Kluyveromyces lactis: one gene and its partners. The protein of the gene in region 1 interacts with the protein of each later gene in a pairwise test. Links are inferred from orthologs where the notes say so. Each region holds a gene or a part of one and is shown in the gene's direction. Other genes may lie near its edges. The genes, in order: TMA23, RPA34 and PRP43.

Evidence for each region.
Region 2: the proteins of TMA23 (region 1) and RPA34 interact in a protein complementation assay, tested with the Saccharomyces cerevisiae proteins (2 studies listed by BioGRID). The link is inferred for Kluyveromyces lactis from reciprocal best matches to the Saccharomyces cerevisiae genes TMA23 and RPA34.
Region 3: the proteins of TMA23 (region 1) and PRP43 interact in a two-hybrid assay, tested with the Saccharomyces cerevisiae proteins (2 studies listed by BioGRID, with this or other methods). The link is inferred for Kluyveromyces lactis from reciprocal best matches to the Saccharomyces cerevisiae genes TMA23 and PRP43.

Annotation. Positions count from the first base shown.
Region 1 is NC_006040.1:170,574-173,186, reverse strand, and holds TMA23 (Tma23p), read left to right. Parts: upstream 1-1,402; coding exon 1,403-1,951; downstream 1,952-2,613. Other genes in the region: ECL1 (Ecl1p), read right to left, coding at 1-70; MDM1 (Mdm1p), read left to right, coding at 2,172-2,613. UniProt on the Saccharomyces cerevisiae protein: Trans-acting factors of the ribosome biogenesis process.
Region 2 is NC_006037.1:552,811-555,503, reverse strand, and holds RPA34 (DNA-directed RNA polymerase I subunit RPA34), read left to right. Parts: upstream 1-1,516; coding exon 1,517-2,101; downstream 2,102-2,693. Other genes in the region: rRNA-processing protein LAS1, read left to right, coding at 1-224; transcription factor TFIIE subunit TFA2, read right to left, coding at 2,206-2,693. UniProt on the Saccharomyces cerevisiae protein: DNA-dependent RNA polymerases catalyze the transcription of DNA into RNA using the four ribonucleoside triphosphates as substrates. Component of RNA polymerase I (Pol I) which synthesizes ribosomal RNA precursors.
Region 3 is NC_006038.1:40,890-45,152, forward strand, and holds PRP43 (DEAH-box ATP-dependent RNA helicase PRP43), read left to right. Parts: upstream 1-1,394; coding exon 1,395-3,698; downstream 3,699-4,263. Other genes in the region: protein kinase COQ8, read right to left, coding at 1-848; KLLA0_B00583g (protein kinase subunit beta), read right to left, coding at 3,930-4,263. UniProt on the Saccharomyces cerevisiae protein: Pre-mRNA processing factor involved in disassembly of spliceosomes after the release of mature mRNA.

The DNA of each region.
Region 1 (2,613 bases):
ATTGAGCATCGCAATTACCACGTTCAATCAATTGGCCACAAACGGTACAATAATCGTTGAATGCTGACATCGTAAACTAGTAGGTATTGCGCAGACAGGTATCCTCGGCTTCACTGGCTTGTGAAAAGGTTTTCTCTTTCCCTATCTATCTCGTGATTACACTTGAAATCCCCTCAGCTACTATTTTCACCATATACCCAATATATATATTGCTTATATATATGTATTATATAAAAAGATTATGGACATCGTGCCTTAATCTCAACTAAAGGTGAGCTGAGTTTTAGCAATTAGGTAATGAAATAATAATGACCACACACACATGCGAGAATGTTCAAAACGTCTAAAATGTTCTCAGGGCACACGAGCACACATACACCGCCAGAGTTGGAATTTTTCTCCGTCATTACACACAAATCGTGGCACCATGACACATGACACAAGATCGTAAAGACGCAGGTTTCCTAGTGTCTAGCCCTAGGCCCCATTCCGAATCGCCCAGGATCGCTGTCGATGACACTCGAGTCCTCTGGAGTCTTTCTCTGAGGTCTCTTTCTCAGTAGGTCGGAATGAGCCACGCCATTGTCCACACCGTGGGAAGGTGAAAAAAAAAATTTTTCACCATTTTGCTCATCGCAACAGCGAAACGAAAGGAAGCGAAAGGAACGGTGTTAGCATCACATACGCACGTTTGTCAGTGTATTTTTAGCAAGTCTTCGCCCGTTCTCGTTGTTTACTGATTTAAAACGGTTTTCTACACGTTTTTGTTCGGACCGGGCATCGATCCAGCCAGCCCTGTTTGCTAAAATTGGGGATTTATAATCACTCAAGGTGCCATATGCTCGTTGAGTGATTATTTAAACACAGGTCACGTGCCGGAGATCTTGATGTACATGGTTTAGAGTTTAGAGTTTAGAGTTTAAAGCCCACTCAGAATACACACACGCCGTGTCTATCTGTGGAGTTGTGTGTTTTGAATACCAATTAATTAGAGGTTTCTTGGGGTTTTGTGGTTTTGTCTCAGGCGGAGCATGAAACGTACACGTTTCATGGCCTCAACTCATGGAGCCAGCCACGGTGTAGCCCCATGTGTTAAGTAATTTTAGATCCTCCATAGAGTAAGTCTTGGCAGTGTGGTGACAACCTTAAATGACACAGGAAAAGAAGAAAAACCGTGGCACGTGATGCTATTGCTCCGGGTAATGATGAAGACTGTGTTCACGTGACCACAATCGAAATGTTTCTCTTTGAAAAGAAATTCTTCAACTCGCGATGAGATGAGATGAGAAGATGATATACAGCAATTAAAGTGACATTGACATTGGTAAGATTACCGATCTGTTTGCTGATCTACCATTGTGAATCCCCGATAATTATACCTCAGTTCCACCATATATTACCCATGGACAGTAAAGGGTACCTTAAATCGTATGGCTGGCAAGAAGGTGAGGCCTTACGGAACGGAGGACTGAAAAAACCGATTCTTGTGAAACACAAGAAAGATAAGAAAGGGCTTGGATGTGCACCAGGACATGATGACAGTGAAGCCTGGTGGGAACGTTTGTTCGACGGACAACTTCGAAACTTGGACATCAAAAGCGGGTCCGATGGGATCTCGTTCAAACAAAACGAAGTCGTCGCTTCTTCCATATCAAAGAGCGATTCACCACTTTATCGATCATTTGTTAGAGGTGAAGTGTTGAAAGGTACCATTAAAACAGATCTGCCGTCCAACAATGGATCTACTATAGTTAAACTGGCTGTTTCTGAAGTGACATCGAAGAAAGATAAAAAGAGCAAAGACGAGAAGAAGAAGAAGAAGAAGAAGAAGTCGCATAAGGTTGACAAGCCAAAGAGTAAGCATAAGAAAGACAAGAAGGATAAGCATAGGAAAGACAAGAAGGATAAGAAGGATAAGAAGGGTACACACAAGCGTAAAAGTTCACATTGATGTTCTCTTTATTTTCTTCTTGCAGCATCATCCCTCCATTGTACGTACATGTTGTATATAAAAATTCTCGTTAGATAGACGATTTAAACGCATTTAGTTCATTTCAAGGTTTTCAACAAATAGTGTAAACAAGCTAAATTATTCCACTGTCGAAAAGATACTGCCCAAGACGCGGCTTAACAGCATTCCATTGGCAGCAGTCCATATATTGAATTTCTAAATGCCCAGTTTCAAGTGGCATGTTTTGTTCGTGGTTCCCTTCTTCTTGGGGTGGGGGGAGTGTTTGTTTGTCCTATCGGTTGCGTCTCTTTTGTCAATCATTTGGATATATCTTGCATTAAATGAACAACCTCGGGTGCTCCCAACAAAACCAACGCTAAGGTTCACAGGTGATAAACCTATTACCAAAACTTCAGATGATGATAATTTTGCCGGTCAAGAAGCCTTGTTCCCCAATAACGAAGCATTATCAAAAGAAATTGATATCTTACTCAATAACATCATCAGCAATTTCATTTTATCCTGGTTTGGATCAATCAGTGAATCAGACAAATTTCCCAATACTGTGAAATCGGTGTTAAAAGAGGCCATAATACGATTTTCGATTGCTCTCTCAGATGTTGACCTTTGTGAGTTGATGATTTTAAGAATACTACCTTTAT
Region 2 (2,693 bases), on another chromosome or scaffold:
AGGCAAAGGGGATCAGGAACGTTGAATTAGAGCTCTACAATTCAAGGAAAAGGACGTCTTCTGAAGAAATAGAGCCTGTTTCGGAAGATTCCCCGGCCTTGGATATATTGAAAGACTTGAATGAATTGAAAAATCAGTTCAAAAAGATCAAACAAAGCAATGCCCCCATCTCCAACTGGCAAGAAGTCACCGAGTGGACGCCTAGACCATTTGGCGTTTTGTAATTAGTATAATTAAGCCTTTTAGATACATAAGACAAAGCAAGAAAGATTGACAGTTCTACAGGTTCTGCGATGATAACAGGATTGAAAATGGAAATGGATAATAACATATAAAAAGATCAGACATCCTAGGAAGGTCTCAATAAAGAGCGGTCACTGAAGAGTACTAACGATGGGTTCGTAGGCGTACTCCTACCGTGGAAACTGCGAATGTAAAGGAACCAATTTTCATCATATAAAAAAATGTTAAAATCCATAACGCACAATCATGTTCTTAGCTAAAAAGAAGAAGTGAAACGTTTTGAAGAAATAAATGCAACAGAAGATACGACGATGGATCTTGTTTCACTGTTACTTTGACCTTAAGAAAACTAAAAAGAGAAAACTCAGATGATCTAAATTGTACATGTCAAAGCATGTACTGGCTTAAAAAGTCGTTGCCCCGTAAGACAACAACATGGTAGACTCCCATATCGTCATGGTCGATATCGGACTGGGAAAGAAGTGTAGACCGTTTTCATCATCGTTAAATGTTTTGAAGTTCTTTCGTAAGGTATGAAGTAATAATGAATCCCACGTATATGCAAACTTTTACGTTTATTTCTTCATGGAAAAGGTCTCTTTTCCAAGCGTAACATAGACGAATCAGTGTTTCACGGCTGTGAAACACTGCTCCATCAAGGATACTATAAAGCTCACTTGCCAACAGCAAGTGAGGCTAGAGAACAACCTACAGAACTTTTCAATACCTAACCTGGATAAATGGTTTGATGAGTTTAACATGTCTAGTTTGTTTCTCATTACCAGCCTTTTTATATTCTTCGTGTCGAAGAAGCATGGAAAAAATTTTTGGAATAATTGCGTCGTTCGACATGATAATACAGTAAACCAAGTACTTAGGGCATCGATGTCATACCATTCAACGGGAATCATAGTATTAGTGATCCAATAAATGTTGCTCGAAGGCTGTTCAAGTCGGACATACCATTTCTCGATGGTTTGTGATGAACTGGAACAGATTTCATGAATACGATAGTTTGTTCCACGTGTTAACCACGTGCATTTTCCCGGGTAACGTCTAAAAAGAAAGAAAAGTCTTTCCCAAGATGAAAAAATTCGGTTTAAGCTCATCTCATCTCATTGCAGATTCAAATAGACACACAGAGGCAGATAAGTGAGGTTCTGTGTGGTCCTAGGGTTCCAATTACAGTTTAACTAGTTCAGGTGAGTTTTTGTTACACCCTTCCCTGTAATATTATTCCACTCGCAAAACGTTATAAGAAATATCTCAAACAATGGCCAAGGTCGACAAAACTCTTTCAAAGGAATACATCAGTGATAGCGACAGCGATAATGATGGATCATCAGAAACTGTAACGGACGTTTTCGTTCCACCTGAAAACTATAAGAAATGTACACATTTGAAATCATTCGTGAAGCCTAAGAACTTGAAGCAAAAAGAACTTTGGCTTATCAAACTTCCTAAATCTTTAGATGTCTCTAAGCTTTCGAAATTACCTATTGATTTCACAGCGGAGTCGGAAACTGGCATCGAACAAAAAGGTAAACATTTCTCTGTGAAGGAGGAAATCCAACAAGAAAATTCCACTTCTGGTGCATCTTCTTCTTCTGAATTGACATTATTGACTCCTGTAGATAAGACAAAGTTGACCGTCGATTCATCTGCATCAAGATCATTTGATAAGATCTTTACCATAAGCGAAACTGCAAAGATTCCAAGCATTGATTATTCTAAGGTAAGAGTGGATAGAAAGGATGTGTTGAAGGTTAAGGGTCTCAAGACTAGACATTTCGCAACTGGGTATTACGAGGATAAAGATTTGAAGAAAGTTAGCAAAAAAAAGAGAAAGCACGACTAGAGCACTCGTTCTGGTCTTTCTGTATATTATTTATATATAACGCACTGGTCATATTTTAATTTGGGTTATATGTAGAATACGTTCATTATAAAAAGTAGGTATCTTCATACCCTATCGGAATAATCTCTCAATATACCAGCCATATGTGTATTGGTAACTTTACCCTTTCTTGATCTACGTTTCTTGACCTCTTTCCTTGTGGTTTGCTCATTCTTGATCGTAGCAGGATCCACACTAGCAGGCTTGAGACCCAAATCTTGTAGTTTTCTTGGTAATTCACTACGCTGAGGTAGCTTACAAGCTTCCCACATCGTAACGAACTCTTCATCGATTTGCCTTGATGGACCAGCATGGTTATACCAGACAAACCTTGGAGAATTATCCTTCTTTGTCCGAAGAACAAGGATTCTGTTCTTTGCTTCTAACTCGTCGATTGTATCAAAACATTGTGGCCAACCATCTTTTAACTCTTTACATGATATACCCTTGAACGTCGCCTGTGATCTTAATAGTTGTAGCAATTCCTCCGCAGAATGCACATCGTAAATGGATACGTACTGTAAAGTGTTCCTCTTTGGGTCAAACTTGAATT
Region 3 (4,263 bases), on another chromosome or scaffold:
ATAGAGTCTTTGACTCCTGGATATTGTATCTTCACGACACATTCCTCGCCGTTGTGCAAAACAGCATTATGAACTTGACCAATGCTTGCTGCAGCGATAGGAGTCCTGTCGAAACTCTTGAATTTCTTTTCCCAATCAGAACTCAATTCTCTAGCCAGTAGCCTGTCCAACTGTCTTGGAGGCATATAATTAGCACTGTTCTGAACTCTTGAAAGTATCGTGTATAATTGCGGAGGTAAAACCTTCTCATCCTGGAATGACATTAGTTGGCCCAACTTTAATGCTGCTCCTCTCATTTGAGAGAATTTATTTGCAATCCTTTCAACATTAGAATCTGATAACAGTAAATCTTTAAAACTTGATGATTGGCCACGACTCAGCTGAGTGATACTTTGAGATGCAGCAGAAATACCCACACTAGCAGCTAGGTGGCCGTAATGAAAAAGCCGAGAGATACGTGATGAAGGGACTTCTGAACTTTCCAGTTTATTAGCCTTTTGTTTGTTCACCAATTTATCCTCTGGAATAGCGTCAGCTGCTTTATTAGAACACCTGTGATAAGATGAAAAATGTCTCACATTTTTTTTGTTCTTGACTGAGCACTTGCTAAGGTGTGCTTTTTTAGAAGAGTGCCCTTTCGTAGATTTTCTGACGGATTCAGAAAGTTTACGGGCATGTTCCCAGTCCTTGTCGTAAAACCATTGAAATTTAGACAGTACCGGTCTTGTCAAAGTGGAAGTTTTTAGCCAAATATCAAGAGACTGTCTACCAATCGAGGCAGAATTTTTTACCACGTTGCAGAAGGACTCTGATAAACAGATAGCTTGATATAGCCCTTTTCTCGACATTGAATACAGCGATACTTCTCGATATCAATTAATTCAGCCGAAGAACTATCAGATATCACAAGATCAAAAATAAAGGGTGAAAGTATTTGATCTATCCAATGATACTACGAGTCAATGGTCAAATTCATGAATATACAGCGTAATAAGAATGGATTAAGACTCTGTCTTTACTTTATTACCTTTCCTTATTTCATGAGAGAGTCGAATCGTACAGATATCTTGCAGAATAATCCATCTTTTGAATTTCAAATAGATGCTTGTTTGCTTGCTTGCTCTTGCCATTCTAACCTTTGTTATCCGGGTAATGATGGAATTGCGATTTTGACATATGGACGTGTAGTTTTTTCTTTTTTAAAAATTTTAATGCAAATTGTAACATTAAGCTCATCTCATCTCATCTCATCTAGTGTAGTTCAATACTAGAGATAGTAGGTTAAGTGGTTATAAAATCCCCTGAATATTAGATACTACTGCTGAGTTTGGTTTACTCCGTTAGAGATTATTCGCATTACCAGTTGCAAAACATCAAACGTTGAGTAATTGACGATGGGCAAAAGAAGGTTTTCAAACGAGCATGTGTCTGCTGTTGAGACTTCTATTCCGGAGCATGCAGCTGAAATCGCAGAAAAATTAACCAAAGATCACCCTCCACCAGCAGCAGAGCCTTTAATTCATCATGATTCTGGTGAGTTCAGCGGGATGCAACGCCATCACACTACTGCGGCCGATGCCGAAAGATTGGAAAATGGATCAGTTAATCCATTCACTGGTGGCTCACTATCAGAGAAATATTTCGGTATTCTAAAGGTAAGAAGAGACTTGCCAGTGCACGCTCAAAGAGATGAATTCTTGAAGATCTATCAAGAAAACCAGATCATGGTTTTTGTTGGTGAAACGGGTTCCGGTAAGACCACTCAAATTCCTCAATTTGTGCTGTTCGATGAAATGCCACATTTACAAAATACTCAAGTTGCTTGTACGCAGCCTCGTAGGGTTGCTGCCATGTCTGTGGCACAGAGAGTTGCTGAAGAAATGGACGTCAAACTAGGCGAAGAAGTTGGTTATTCCATTAGATTCGAAAATAAGACCTCTAATAAAACTATCTTGAAATATATGACTGATGGTATGTTGTTAAGAGAAGCCATGGAAGACCATGACTTGAAACGTTACTCTTGTATCATTTTAGATGAAGCACACGAACGTACTTTGGCAACAGATATCTTGATGGGTCTTTTGAAACAGGTTATTGATCGTAGACCTGATTTGAAGATTATTATCATGTCTGCTACTTTAGATGCTGAGAAATTCCAAAGATACTTTAATAAGGCGCCACTTTTAGCTGTCCCTGGTAGGACACATCCAGTGGAGATCTACTATACACCAGAATTCCAAAGAGATTATTTGGATAGTGCTATAAGAACTGTTTTACAGATCCATGCTACGGAGGAGAAGGGTGACATTTTGTTATTCTTAACCGGTGAAGATGAGATTGAAGATGCTGTAAGGAAAATATCATTAGAAGGGGATCAGTTAATTAGAGAGCAAGGTTGTGGTCCTATCTCTGTATATCCATTATACGGTTCTTTGCCTCCACATCAACAACAGCGCATTTTTGAACCTGCTCCTGAATCCCATAATGGAAGACCTGGTAGAAAAGTCATTGTATCTACTAATATTGCAGAAACCTCTTTGACTATTGACGGTATTGTGTATGTTGTTGATCCTGGTTTCTCTAAGCAAAAAGTTTACAACCCAAGAATTAGAGTTGAATCCCTTTTGGTCTCTCCAATTTCAAAGGCATCAGCTCAACAAAGAGCTGGTAGAGCTGGTCGTACCAGACCTGGTAAGTGTTTCAGACTATATACTGAAGAAGCTTTCAAAAAGGAACTTATCGAGCAATCATATCCTGAAATTCTCCGTAGTAATCTTTCTTCGACAGTCTTAGAACTAAAGAAACTAGGCATTGACGATTTGGTGCATTTCGATTTCATGGACCCTCCTGCCCCAGAAACTATGATGAGAGCCTTAGAAGAATTAAACTTTTTGGCATGTTTAGATGACGATGGTAATTTAACACCTTTGGGTAGATTGGCTTCTCAATTCCCTCTTGATCCAATGCTTGCGGTAATGTTGATTGGATCCCCCGAATTTTCTTGTTCCGAAGAGATGCTAACGATTGTCGCCATGTTATCCGTACCTAGTGTTTTCATTCGTCCTTCGAAAGATAAGAAAAGATCAGATGACGCAAAGAACATATTTGCACATCCTGATGGCGACCACCTAACATTATTGAATGTCTACCATGCATTCAAGTCAGACGAAGCTTATGAGTACGGGATCAACAAGTGGTGCCGCGACAACTTTTTAAATTATAGATCTCTATCTGCTGCTGACAACATCCGCAACCAATTGGAAAGGTTGATGGTTCGTTACAATCTCGAGTTGAACACTACAGATTATGACTCCCCTAGATATTTCGATAACATTAGAAAAGCGTTAGCTGCAGGCTTCTTTATGCAGGTCGCAAAAAAACGATCTGGCGGAAAAGGTTATATCACAGTCAAAGATAACCAAGATGTTTTGATACATCCTTCAACTGTTTTGGGCCATGATGCCGAATGGGTTGTATACAATGAATTCGTTCTAACCTCCAAAAACTACATTAGAACTGTAACATCAGTTAGACCTGAATGGTTAATAGAATTAGCACCAGCTTATTATGACCTCGATCACTTCCAAAAAGGTGACATTAAACTATCGTTAGAAAGGGTAAAGCAAAAGCTCGATAAAATGGTGGAGCTACAACAAGAAAAAAAAAAAAGTGCGAAATCTAAAAAGTCTAAGAAATAACCAAGCATATAGATGTGTAACTTATATAATAAGATTAACCTTAGAATCAGCATGATAAGTCTTATTGTAGAAGTATTGTGCGGTATTATTAGCACGCGACTCAAAGTCTACGTTTTTTTTGCTGCATTTTATTGAAATTCGGTATGGTGTACGTTTTATATTCAACCCATAAGAACTTCGCTTATGATATTTCAGTGTAAAAAATATAAAATCAAATCTCTAGGAGTGGTTTCATTGCAATGGCGCATATAGTATCTGTGTTGCATATTTTCTTTTGTATCTAACGATGCTAGCAACACATAAAGTATTATGTTTAATAGAAGACGTTGCTAAATGATTAAGAACGACGTGGTTAGGAATTGGCAACGCACCTGAATTATTTTCACTACCTGGTTCAGCATTTTTGTTGTAATTATTGAGAATAACATTCTCCAACTGAGGTGGAAGTTGTGGAGGAGTTAACCATGACATATTTTGTTGATTGTTCTGTTGCTGGTCTAATGTGAGATAATACTGTTCCATCACCGAAGGATCTGTAAAGACAGCAGGGATATCCTGAGTATAC